Arabidopsis thaliana: one gene and its partner. The protein of the gene in region 1 purifies or fractionates together with the protein of each later gene. This does not show direct contact. Each region holds a gene or a part of one and is shown on either strand. Other genes may lie near its edges.

Evidence for each region. The genes of interacting proteins can lie anywhere in the genome.
Region 2: the proteins of AT3G02490 (region 1) and AT3G18760 fractionate together in Arabidopsis thaliana (co-fractionation; one large-scale study listed by BioGRID). This does not show direct contact.

Annotation. Positions count from the first base shown.
Region 1 is NC_003074.8:511,829-516,446, reverse strand, and holds AT3G02490 (Pentatricopeptide repeat (PPR) superfamily protein), read right to left. Parts: upstream 2,970-4,618; 5' UTR 2,841-2,969; coding exon 843-2,840; 3' UTR 522-842; downstream 1-521. Other genes in the region: RTFL19 (ROTUNDIFOLIA like 19), read left to right, coding at 263-400; AT3G02480 (Late embryogenesis abundant protein (LEA) family protein), read right to left, coding at 3,590-3,670, 3,756-3,824, 4,007-4,063.
Region 2 is NC_003074.8:6,457,139-6,461,663, forward strand, and holds AT3G18760 (Translation elongation factor EF1B/ribosomal protein S6 family protein), read right to left. Parts: upstream 2,588-4,525; 5' UTR 2,421-2,587; coding exon 2,238-2,420; intron 1,029-2,237; coding exon 792-1,028; 3' UTR 539-791; downstream 1-538. Other genes in the region: AT3G18770 (Autophagy-related protein 13), read right to left, coding at 2,888-3,254, 3,775-3,956, 4,044-4,525.

The DNA of each region.
Region 1 (4,618 bases):
TGCAGACAATAACTTCTCCCTATAAAAACTCACTCGAACAAGTATCTTCTCCATTAAATCACTTATCTTCCAAAGTTCTCTTATTCTTCACAATATCACACTCTCTTAATTAATAGTTAATATCATAGAAGATTCCTGCTCGGAAACAATCTAGACCAAGTTTTTTCGAGGGATTCGTCGTGGTGTAAAGTCTCACCAACTTTTTAGTATTTCCGATACAATCATTGTTATATCAACTGGTTTCTTAGGGACACAACTGGATATGGAAAGCATCATGAGCTTGAAGAGAAAGGAGAAGAAATCCCAAAGTAGAAGACTCGGGAAATATCTGAAAGAACAAAAGGGGAGGATCTACATCATTAGAAGATGTGTGATGATGCTCCTTTGTTCGCATGATTAATTTATTTATTACGATACACATATGTATATGTGTTTATTTTGTCCGATATGTAAATACATAATGTGTACTTTATAAGAAACAAAATACCAAATCTTTAGAGTACTAATGAATTCTGTAAACTCTTTGGATTAAAGGTCAATAGAGAAAAAACAAAGCTAAGAGACAACATAGACAACAAGATTGATAAATAGGCCTTTTGCTAAAAAGCCCACAAGACCAAATGATAAAATCTTAAGTTGGGGAAAGATTAGTAATGTAAACTGGCTTACGATGGAAAAGAGGCAGAGGCCTTTTTCTAAATAAGCCCATTTAAGCTACTAACAATCTTCAAAAGTCCCACATCGCCGCTATATGAAGAAAATTATAGCGATTAGAGTCGAGTAAGTGATTGTCCTTTTTGAATCACCACGTCCAGAAACAAAAGAAAACAACATATAATGAATTAAGCTTCAATTTGAGCAGGAGCAGGCAAAGGTTTCTCTAAAGAACATTTTTCAGGTTTCATGGTATTGAAAAGTTCTAGAACTTCTGCATTGCGACGGATATAACTTGGGGACATAGACAGTAAATCCTGAGCTTCACTATGCCTTGCAGACTTCAACATAGCTTCGAATACACGCAGAACCATTGAATTAGATGGAAACTTCTTTGAAGTCACAGCCTTCAGAAAAGCGAAAGCCTCTGCGCTTGTTCCACTATTCGATAAGTAATCCATGAACGGGTCCACGAAAGGAGGGAACCCGTGATTTCTCATCATAGGTAGAAGACTCAAAGCTTCTTCAAACCCACCATCTCTTGCTACCTTCTTCATCAACAGATTCCTCACCATAATTTTGTATGTACTGTGCCAAGGTTTCAACTGATTTTGTTTCACTAGCTCACTGAAAAGCTTGTATACATCTCTTGCCTGAAAACTGTTGCAATAAGCAAGTACCAACTTCTCAAATGCATAACCTGCATAAGAGACTCCCTCTTTCCCAATCATCTTCTTGAAACACTCTGAAGCTTCTTCGAGATCTTTAGCATCACAGTGCCCTTCAACTAAAGATGCCATTGCTTTATCATCTAAATGGTTTCCAGAAGCTTCCATAAAGTTCACAAGTTCGTTTGCTTCATCTTTCTTGCCCTTACGACTAAGTCCTGATGCAATCACACTCTGCAAATCACCGCTAGGAACATATCCACCTTCGTTCATCGCTTTCAACACCTCGTTGCTCTGTCCAAACCTATCAACGCTTCTCAAAGACTTGAGGACATGTTGCAGCATAACATCCGGCACAACGTTGCCATTCCCAGTATAAGCTTTCAAAGTTCTTGTAAATAAGTCCATGTCCAATTTCTTTGCAGTGACAATTTTCTTGAGCAGTAAACTGCAGCAGTGTGGGGTGGGTGTGTTGCTAATGCTACCTGCCATTGCAAACTCAAACAACTCAACAGCTTCTTTAATCATTTTAGTCTGACAGAACCTTGCTGAAACCCTAACATAAGTCTCCATTTCCATCTCGTAACCAGCACTCCTAATTTCTTCTATCATGTGCTGAAACCTATCAAGAAACTTCTCTTTCCCTAAAACCCTGGCCATAGCATTATACGTCTTCTCATCATGTTTAAAACTTCCAGACTCATCAATCCACCTAAAGAACAACAAAGCTTTCCTCGGATCCACGTCAAGTTTTTCCAAAACCATCTTTACCACATCACTTTTAAACTCGAGCTTCAAATCCCTTAGCTGTTTCTCTACATCAGCACCCCACACTTCCTTCATCACAATCTTACACACCCTATTGCAAACCTTGTCAACAGAGTTATCCATAGAACCTGAAGCAAATAGCTCTTTCAGCCTCTCCAAATCATTTTCTAGTCCATCTTTCTTAAACTTGTCACCGACTCTGTCCCTAACATTAGCTGAAACACCATGCCCTTTCTTCTTCATATCATCAACCAACCTCCAAAACTCATCAACTAATCCATTAACACCAAAAATACGCAGCATCGTGTTATAACTCTTGGAAGAAAGTTTTTGAGGATAAGCCTCCAAACCCCATTTGAAAAACCTCCCCGCAACATCAGGGCTTGATTCAAGTTCCCTCAGAACTCTCAATGCTAATTCATGGCTAATCACAACATCATTCGAATCCAGCTCTTTCGTAATCTCATCCTTACCATTCAATCTGCTAAAAACATCAATCACAACAGTCTCAGCAGGAAGTTTCTCTTCTATCGCAGACTCAGATGAAAAGCGTCGGCTAACAGAGCTCGCCAATGGCGATCGCAAGGCAAAAAGACACTGTCTTTGTTGCACTCCAAAACGTTCGTGGAGGAAAGAAGAGAAAGATCGAGTCGAATTGGAGATTACCTGGAACCGCGAGTGATGAGAAAGAAATGGACGAGGAGACGAACGGTAGCTCCGGAAAAGAAGCGATCGCCATTGATACCTCATCCTTAATGTCTATCTAAGCTACAACAACACTAGAGTTTGGCTTGATTTTGAACAAAAAGTTTGGATTTTTACGAATGGGAACGATGGAGCAGCAATGGCGCAAGAGAGAGAGGAAATGTTTAGGGCTTTAGACTAAACCTCTGACCAAGACGGAAGGTCGAGTATTTTTAAGCTGTCATCCTCCAACTTTTTGTAATTTTCATTTTAGCCACAACATTTTTTTATTTAGATAATTTTATCCTCCACAGCGATTAGGAAAATATGACCATGTCTTTTTGTGCTCAATCAATAATTCCTTATACTCTTGAAATGTTTTAGTAAGAGAATTGATCCAATCATGTTTTCTCACTAAATTTCCAATGATATATAAAAAACTGAAGGTTCCAAAGTTATTTGAGGAACAAAACTTCATCTAACGTTCCAAATTATCTTCATTTTGGATAAAATTTCCAAACTAACACTATAAGATATATACATTGTTTGATACTTACTTTCATTGATCTAATATTCTTTGAAGTTGTTAGTTGTTACTTTATACTTGAACACTGAAACCCACTCCCTTTTTTCTTCCACATTCATGATATTAAAAAGCATACTTTTATTAACTAGATAGATAAGATTACATAAAGATCCAAATGGACGCAAGGAAACAACATCAGAAAGTAGCAGGAATGAGAATTAAAACCCCAAATTTATTAAACACAAGTCGAAGAGGGGAATTAATTAGAAAAGAAGTCCAAGGTGCTTGCTTAGTGGCTTTTGTTCATGCCGGTCTTGTCCTTGACGACATCAGCAGCTCCTTGCGCCTTCTCCTTCATTTGTTGTCCAGTCTACAATTCACAATTTGATTTAAAAGTTCAATATTATGGTTTTACTACAAGGGAGCAAAATGAAATGAAAGAATCAAAACTGAACCTGTTGCAAGGAGTCTTGAGCTGAAGCAGCAGCATCCTTGGCCTTGTCCATCATTCCACCGGCCTTCTCCTATATTCACATAAGTTTAACATTATACATTATTAGATCAACCTTGTCTAAAAAGAACACCCTATCGTAATCCGTAAGTATTTGCGGGAAAACTATATGAATTTAGAAATGTAGAGATCTTTTACATATATTTCAACAAATTGATACGAAATGTGTAACAAAAGAAAGAGAGAGAGAGAGACCTTAGTCTGGCCAGTGGCTTGACCGGCTTGGTAGCTCGCGTTTTGCTTGTTGTCCATTTTCTCTCGTTCTGGTTTTGCTTACACTTTGAATTTTATGTTTTTGATTGATTGTTTTGTGTTTGATGATGGAAAATGATTGGAGCATTGGGTTGCTATTTATAACCCAGAGACGTGCTTGGGAGTCTCCACGTGTCGAGGACACGTGCATCGGTTCGAGAAACTTGCTGCAGTCGGTGGCTAGTTTTGGGATCCACGTGTTGGATAACCGTTTGACCAGGACATAAAAGACACATACGTGGTTCTCTCGATTTCTGATCCGCAAACGACACGGTATTATTTCACTTAGACTCCTCTGTTGCGCGATAATAGGATTTTGAGTGAAAGAAAATGTTTCCTTCTTCTTGTACTGTCGTTTTAAGCAATTTTTTCTTAATTTAACTAAACGTAATTATGGCAGAATAAGGTTCTAAGTGAAAACAAGAAATTGTGGTTTTGAAGTTTTTTTTGCCTACTATTATTCATATGAGTCATCATCCTTTTGTTAAATTATACTACCACTTTCTTTTTAGTTCTTAAAATTTTAAATAGTCAGCTCTAAAACTAATTTACTCA
Region 2 (4,525 bases), 5.9 Mb from region 1:
CTCAGATTATATTCTGTCAAAATATCCACATTCGACACAGGTATAAACAATTGACATGAACTATTTCATAATTTTGAGAGGAGAAAAAAAAAATGCATACATGAGTATACATTCATATACATTCACATCAATGCATACATTCATATGAACATAGAAAACACACGATTAAAAGATTTTCTCTCTCAAAAAAAAAAACGGTATAAGGCAACAGAATCGCGTAAATTTGTATTAATAAGATTCTGACGTTTCGATTATACCTGGAGAAACGAAGCTTTGTTCTGTAATTGAGACGAAACGGAGAAGGAGAACAACAATGGGAAGAAAAATCAGAACCCTAATTGAGAGAAATCGATGGATGAAGAAGAAGATGCAGCGACACGGGAAATTATAACAAGTGTTTGTTCTTAGCTCATTTACGAACCACCACCTCTATTTTAATTTCCTTCTTTTTTCCCAATATTAATTTTTAGAAATGATAATTTTTCCAAGTCCTAAAAACAGAGAAACGCTCTCCCCATGCAAATATGACGTGTCAATACACGTGGCATTTAATTCGGGGTTGTCAACCCAATTGATGACGTTGAATATCCACTAGGAAAATAGCGAAAACAATAAAACACATGAAATTTAGTTCAATTTACCTAAAAATTATTATTACATAAAATTAATTTATTTCATTGTCTACGCAAAACGCATACCACCACTTCATGTAACCAAAAACATTCATAACCATTGAAGGGGACTCCCATGAAGAAATTGTCTGAGTAAACATTTCAAAGAAATTGATTTCCTCATCGTGATAACCCTAAAATGTTGTTGTCATCTTCGTCCGAGGAGGATCCATCATATAAGCTCCCACTAGTGAGTCTGTTAGGCACAGTCAGACTATCTTCCTTTTCCGACTGTCCAATCTTGATGTCACGGTGTTTAACTAAGAGCCAGCGCAGCAGTTTGTCTTCCTTGTTCAGGTAGTGAAGCTCCTTGTTCATGTTTGGAGTTGTCATCATTGTTATCTGCATCAATTGTCCCTGCAAAACATTCACCCGATATGAAGGCAGAAAACACTTAGCAAACGCATGACTCTGCAGATTAGTAAGAGAGGAAAGCTAATAAAAGTGGATGTTCAATTTTCACTCTCTGCAGATTCTATCAAAAATACATAGGAGATTGATGTTTAAAGCTTTTGTACTGATACTCTCAAAACATATGATAATCCTACATCTATAGTTGATCGAAACAAATGTATCCCGTTACTTCCTAGGTATGTATGAATTATATATTCTCCTTCTGTTCCTATATAGCCAAATTGTCTAATAACAGAAACAGTTTGAAGAAAATGTATAAGCGAAAGCTGCGATTATTTGTACCAGGTTATCTTACAAGTAATCAAATTTCAAACTGAAGATCCAAAGCACAATCAAATTCTTTGGACAATTCAGTAGATAAGAACTTATCTAGAATCCTAGCTGTTGTATTACCCTCATCAGGATTTTCTGGAATCTTAAGTTCGAAAGGAAACACTGTCGAGGAAATGAAAATCTACAAAATACCATAGACTAAACGCAACGTTTGTGACTAGTAAGAAATCACAAAACAAGTATCACTTCAGGATCGTAGCCAGTATTTGTGTACAAGACCGCATAATTTCCCCCAAGTCCAGCTATTTAACCATAAGAATCAATCAGAAAGTTACAAGACACAAAGCTTTTTCGAAAGGCCAACCTAAAACATAATGCTAATAATAAGATTGCTTATCTATCTACGGTTATAGCATCAAACTAATAATCAAACTCCACACTGAAGATCCAAAGCAAAATCAAGCTCTTTGAACAATTGACTAAGATAGGAACCATTCTAGAATCCTACTGTTCTGTTATCCTCATCAGGATTTTATAAATCGGGTAGACAAAATCACGCAAAAACAACCTTTACTAGTAACAATATGATGATTTTGCTTCAAGAATCCAACTGAAAGTTAAACTAAGCGTAAGTAATCTGGGCGAAAGAAGTATCAGTCCATGGTCGTAGCAAGCATTTGAGTAAAATGACTGTATAAATTCCCAAAATCTAGCTATCTAACCATAAGAATCGATCAGAAAGATGAAAAAGACAAAGCTAACACAAACCTAAACTAAAATGCTAATACCATTGAATCGGCCTGGAGAAAATCCTGATCAAACAAACTCTACGGACTCATAAACCATCGATTCAGTAAGAAAACTAACGAAATTGAATACCTGATAGTGTCTTCCGTCGAGCTTTCTAATACCGTAACCCAATTCGACCTTGCCAAAGGATTTGATCTCGGTGAGGACGCCATTTCTGCTGTAAACGTGTTTACCAATGCGCGCAACGAGGTCGATGAGGCCCTCCTTCCTGATTATAGGCTTGAACAGAAGCATACAGTCGTAGAGCGGCATTTTTGATCCTTCTTCCTTCCGACAAGAGATTAGCTCTGGCTTGTTCTCTCAGGTTTACCTTAGGGTTTTAGTCTTCTCAGATTTCGCCGATTGGGTCATTACCAAACGGCGACGTGTTGTTAAGTTTTTTTTAGTGAAAACGACATCGTGTTGCTATATATATTATTTTTGTCTGAGAGTTCTTAAATTTGATTTGGAAAATGAAATAAGAAATTGTAGAAAGCTTTCATATTAGTTGACAACAAATGAAAGCTTTGTAATGATTATAAATAGTAGTTAACATATGTTTACCATTTTATTTACATGGAATTTTTTTTCTTTTTTTCCTGGGTATAAGTTTATTTACATGGACCAATATCATCCAAAGAGTAGAGAGCTTAATATTATTTACATAGGCACACATTATATGAAAAAAAAAAAAAAAAAAAAACAAACCGAAACCCAAAATGGGTCAAGATTCTGAAACATCAAACATCAAAGGGTGAAGTAATAGTAACCGAGGAAGGGTTTGATGTGGATTGACCAAGCAACAAATGATTCTTCATTTCTTTGTAAGACCTCAACTCTTCCAAAGCATCAGCTGTTGTCTTTGAGGCCAGAGCAATCCCCGAGGCTGTGATAGACGCTACTGCTATCTCATGAGCCCCTGCGGGTTTGTTGTTGTTCGAGCAAATTTCAGGTCTGGAAGATTCAGAGACATCTTGTCTGAGAGGTGGCGCTTTCTTCAGCATTCTCACAAGGGCACCAACTGCAGCATCTTGGGACTTCTTCGGGTATGACCCGCTTGAATCGAATGGTTCATGTATGTCTCCTCTGTGGTCAAACGACCCTGGTCTGAAATAAGGCAGTAAACCAAAAATCAGTTTCTTCTACTGGAAACAGTTACAAAACAAAGTCTCAAGAACTGAATCAGAAACCTTGAGACGAACCATTTCAAGTCATTATATGATTAACTTATTATCCCCAAATATATCATGATATTAGTGATAGAGAAGAGTTACGATTTCTTGGTTTCTCTACTAAACAGTTCTCTTTCTTCTTTTTAAAAGATCAGTACAAGAATACCCCAAGATTGATCGAAGCTACACAGATACAGAAGCATTACAGTAACCATTTCGGTCTTATGGCTGTAAAATCTCAAAGAAAGAAAGAACATGAACTAGCTTCTTAAGCCCTACTGATTAGCATAAGAGGCCAGGATTAGTAAATCACTTATTTAGAAAGTCAATTGGTTTTGAAATATAATAGCTATCCACTTAGAAGGACAACCTAAAGCAATCAAAATATTAAATGCTTGGGCTGTAGATAAATTGGAAAGGAGAAAATGAGATATGTAAGGTTTTTAAGACCATACCTGCTATTCCGATCTGTAATATCATCATACTCAACATCAAATGGGCAAGGGAAATCAGGATCATCAAAATCGTCTTGGAAAGATCTACTGGAACTCCGGGAAAATGATATCCGCGGAGAACTGCTGGAAGACGGCCTCACCCCAGAAGGTCTTCTAAAGTCATCTCTCCCATAAAGAAACAGCTAGAAGGATAATGAATATCAGTTTAACTCGTTAAGTCACATGATCAAGAAAACAGATAAAAGATAAGACATGTGGAGTACGTTTACCTTATCTATTGCTGCTCCAGATTCACCAGGACCCAAGTTTCTCACAGGCTTCAACGAAGCGTGTCTCGACAACTTCAGATGAGCAGAAGGTGCCACAACGTTTTCTTTGGACTGGAAAGTTGGAGCTGGTATTCTGACTGGAGCACTTTCAGTACGTGTGATGCCTCTTGGGACGGCGTGTTTTGGTGCTGAAGGAGAAGGAGGAGGGGAGAAATCTTGACAAGGAGAATACTCTTCGGGGTAGCTTTCCTTCCTACGACCAGTGGGTATATCAGAAGGGTGAGGAGGAAGATGACGAGAGCAAGGATGTGAAACCAATGCATGTGAATCCGAGCGTGTAGGCGATGGTGAGCAAGAAACAGAAGGTGGAGATGCCTTGTAACGATCGAAACTCCAGCTATGGCGCCTTTGAAATGGCAGCAATGGAGGAGAACCATATGAAAGAGGAAGGGAAGGGAACCTCTTTAAAGGATCAGCCAAGG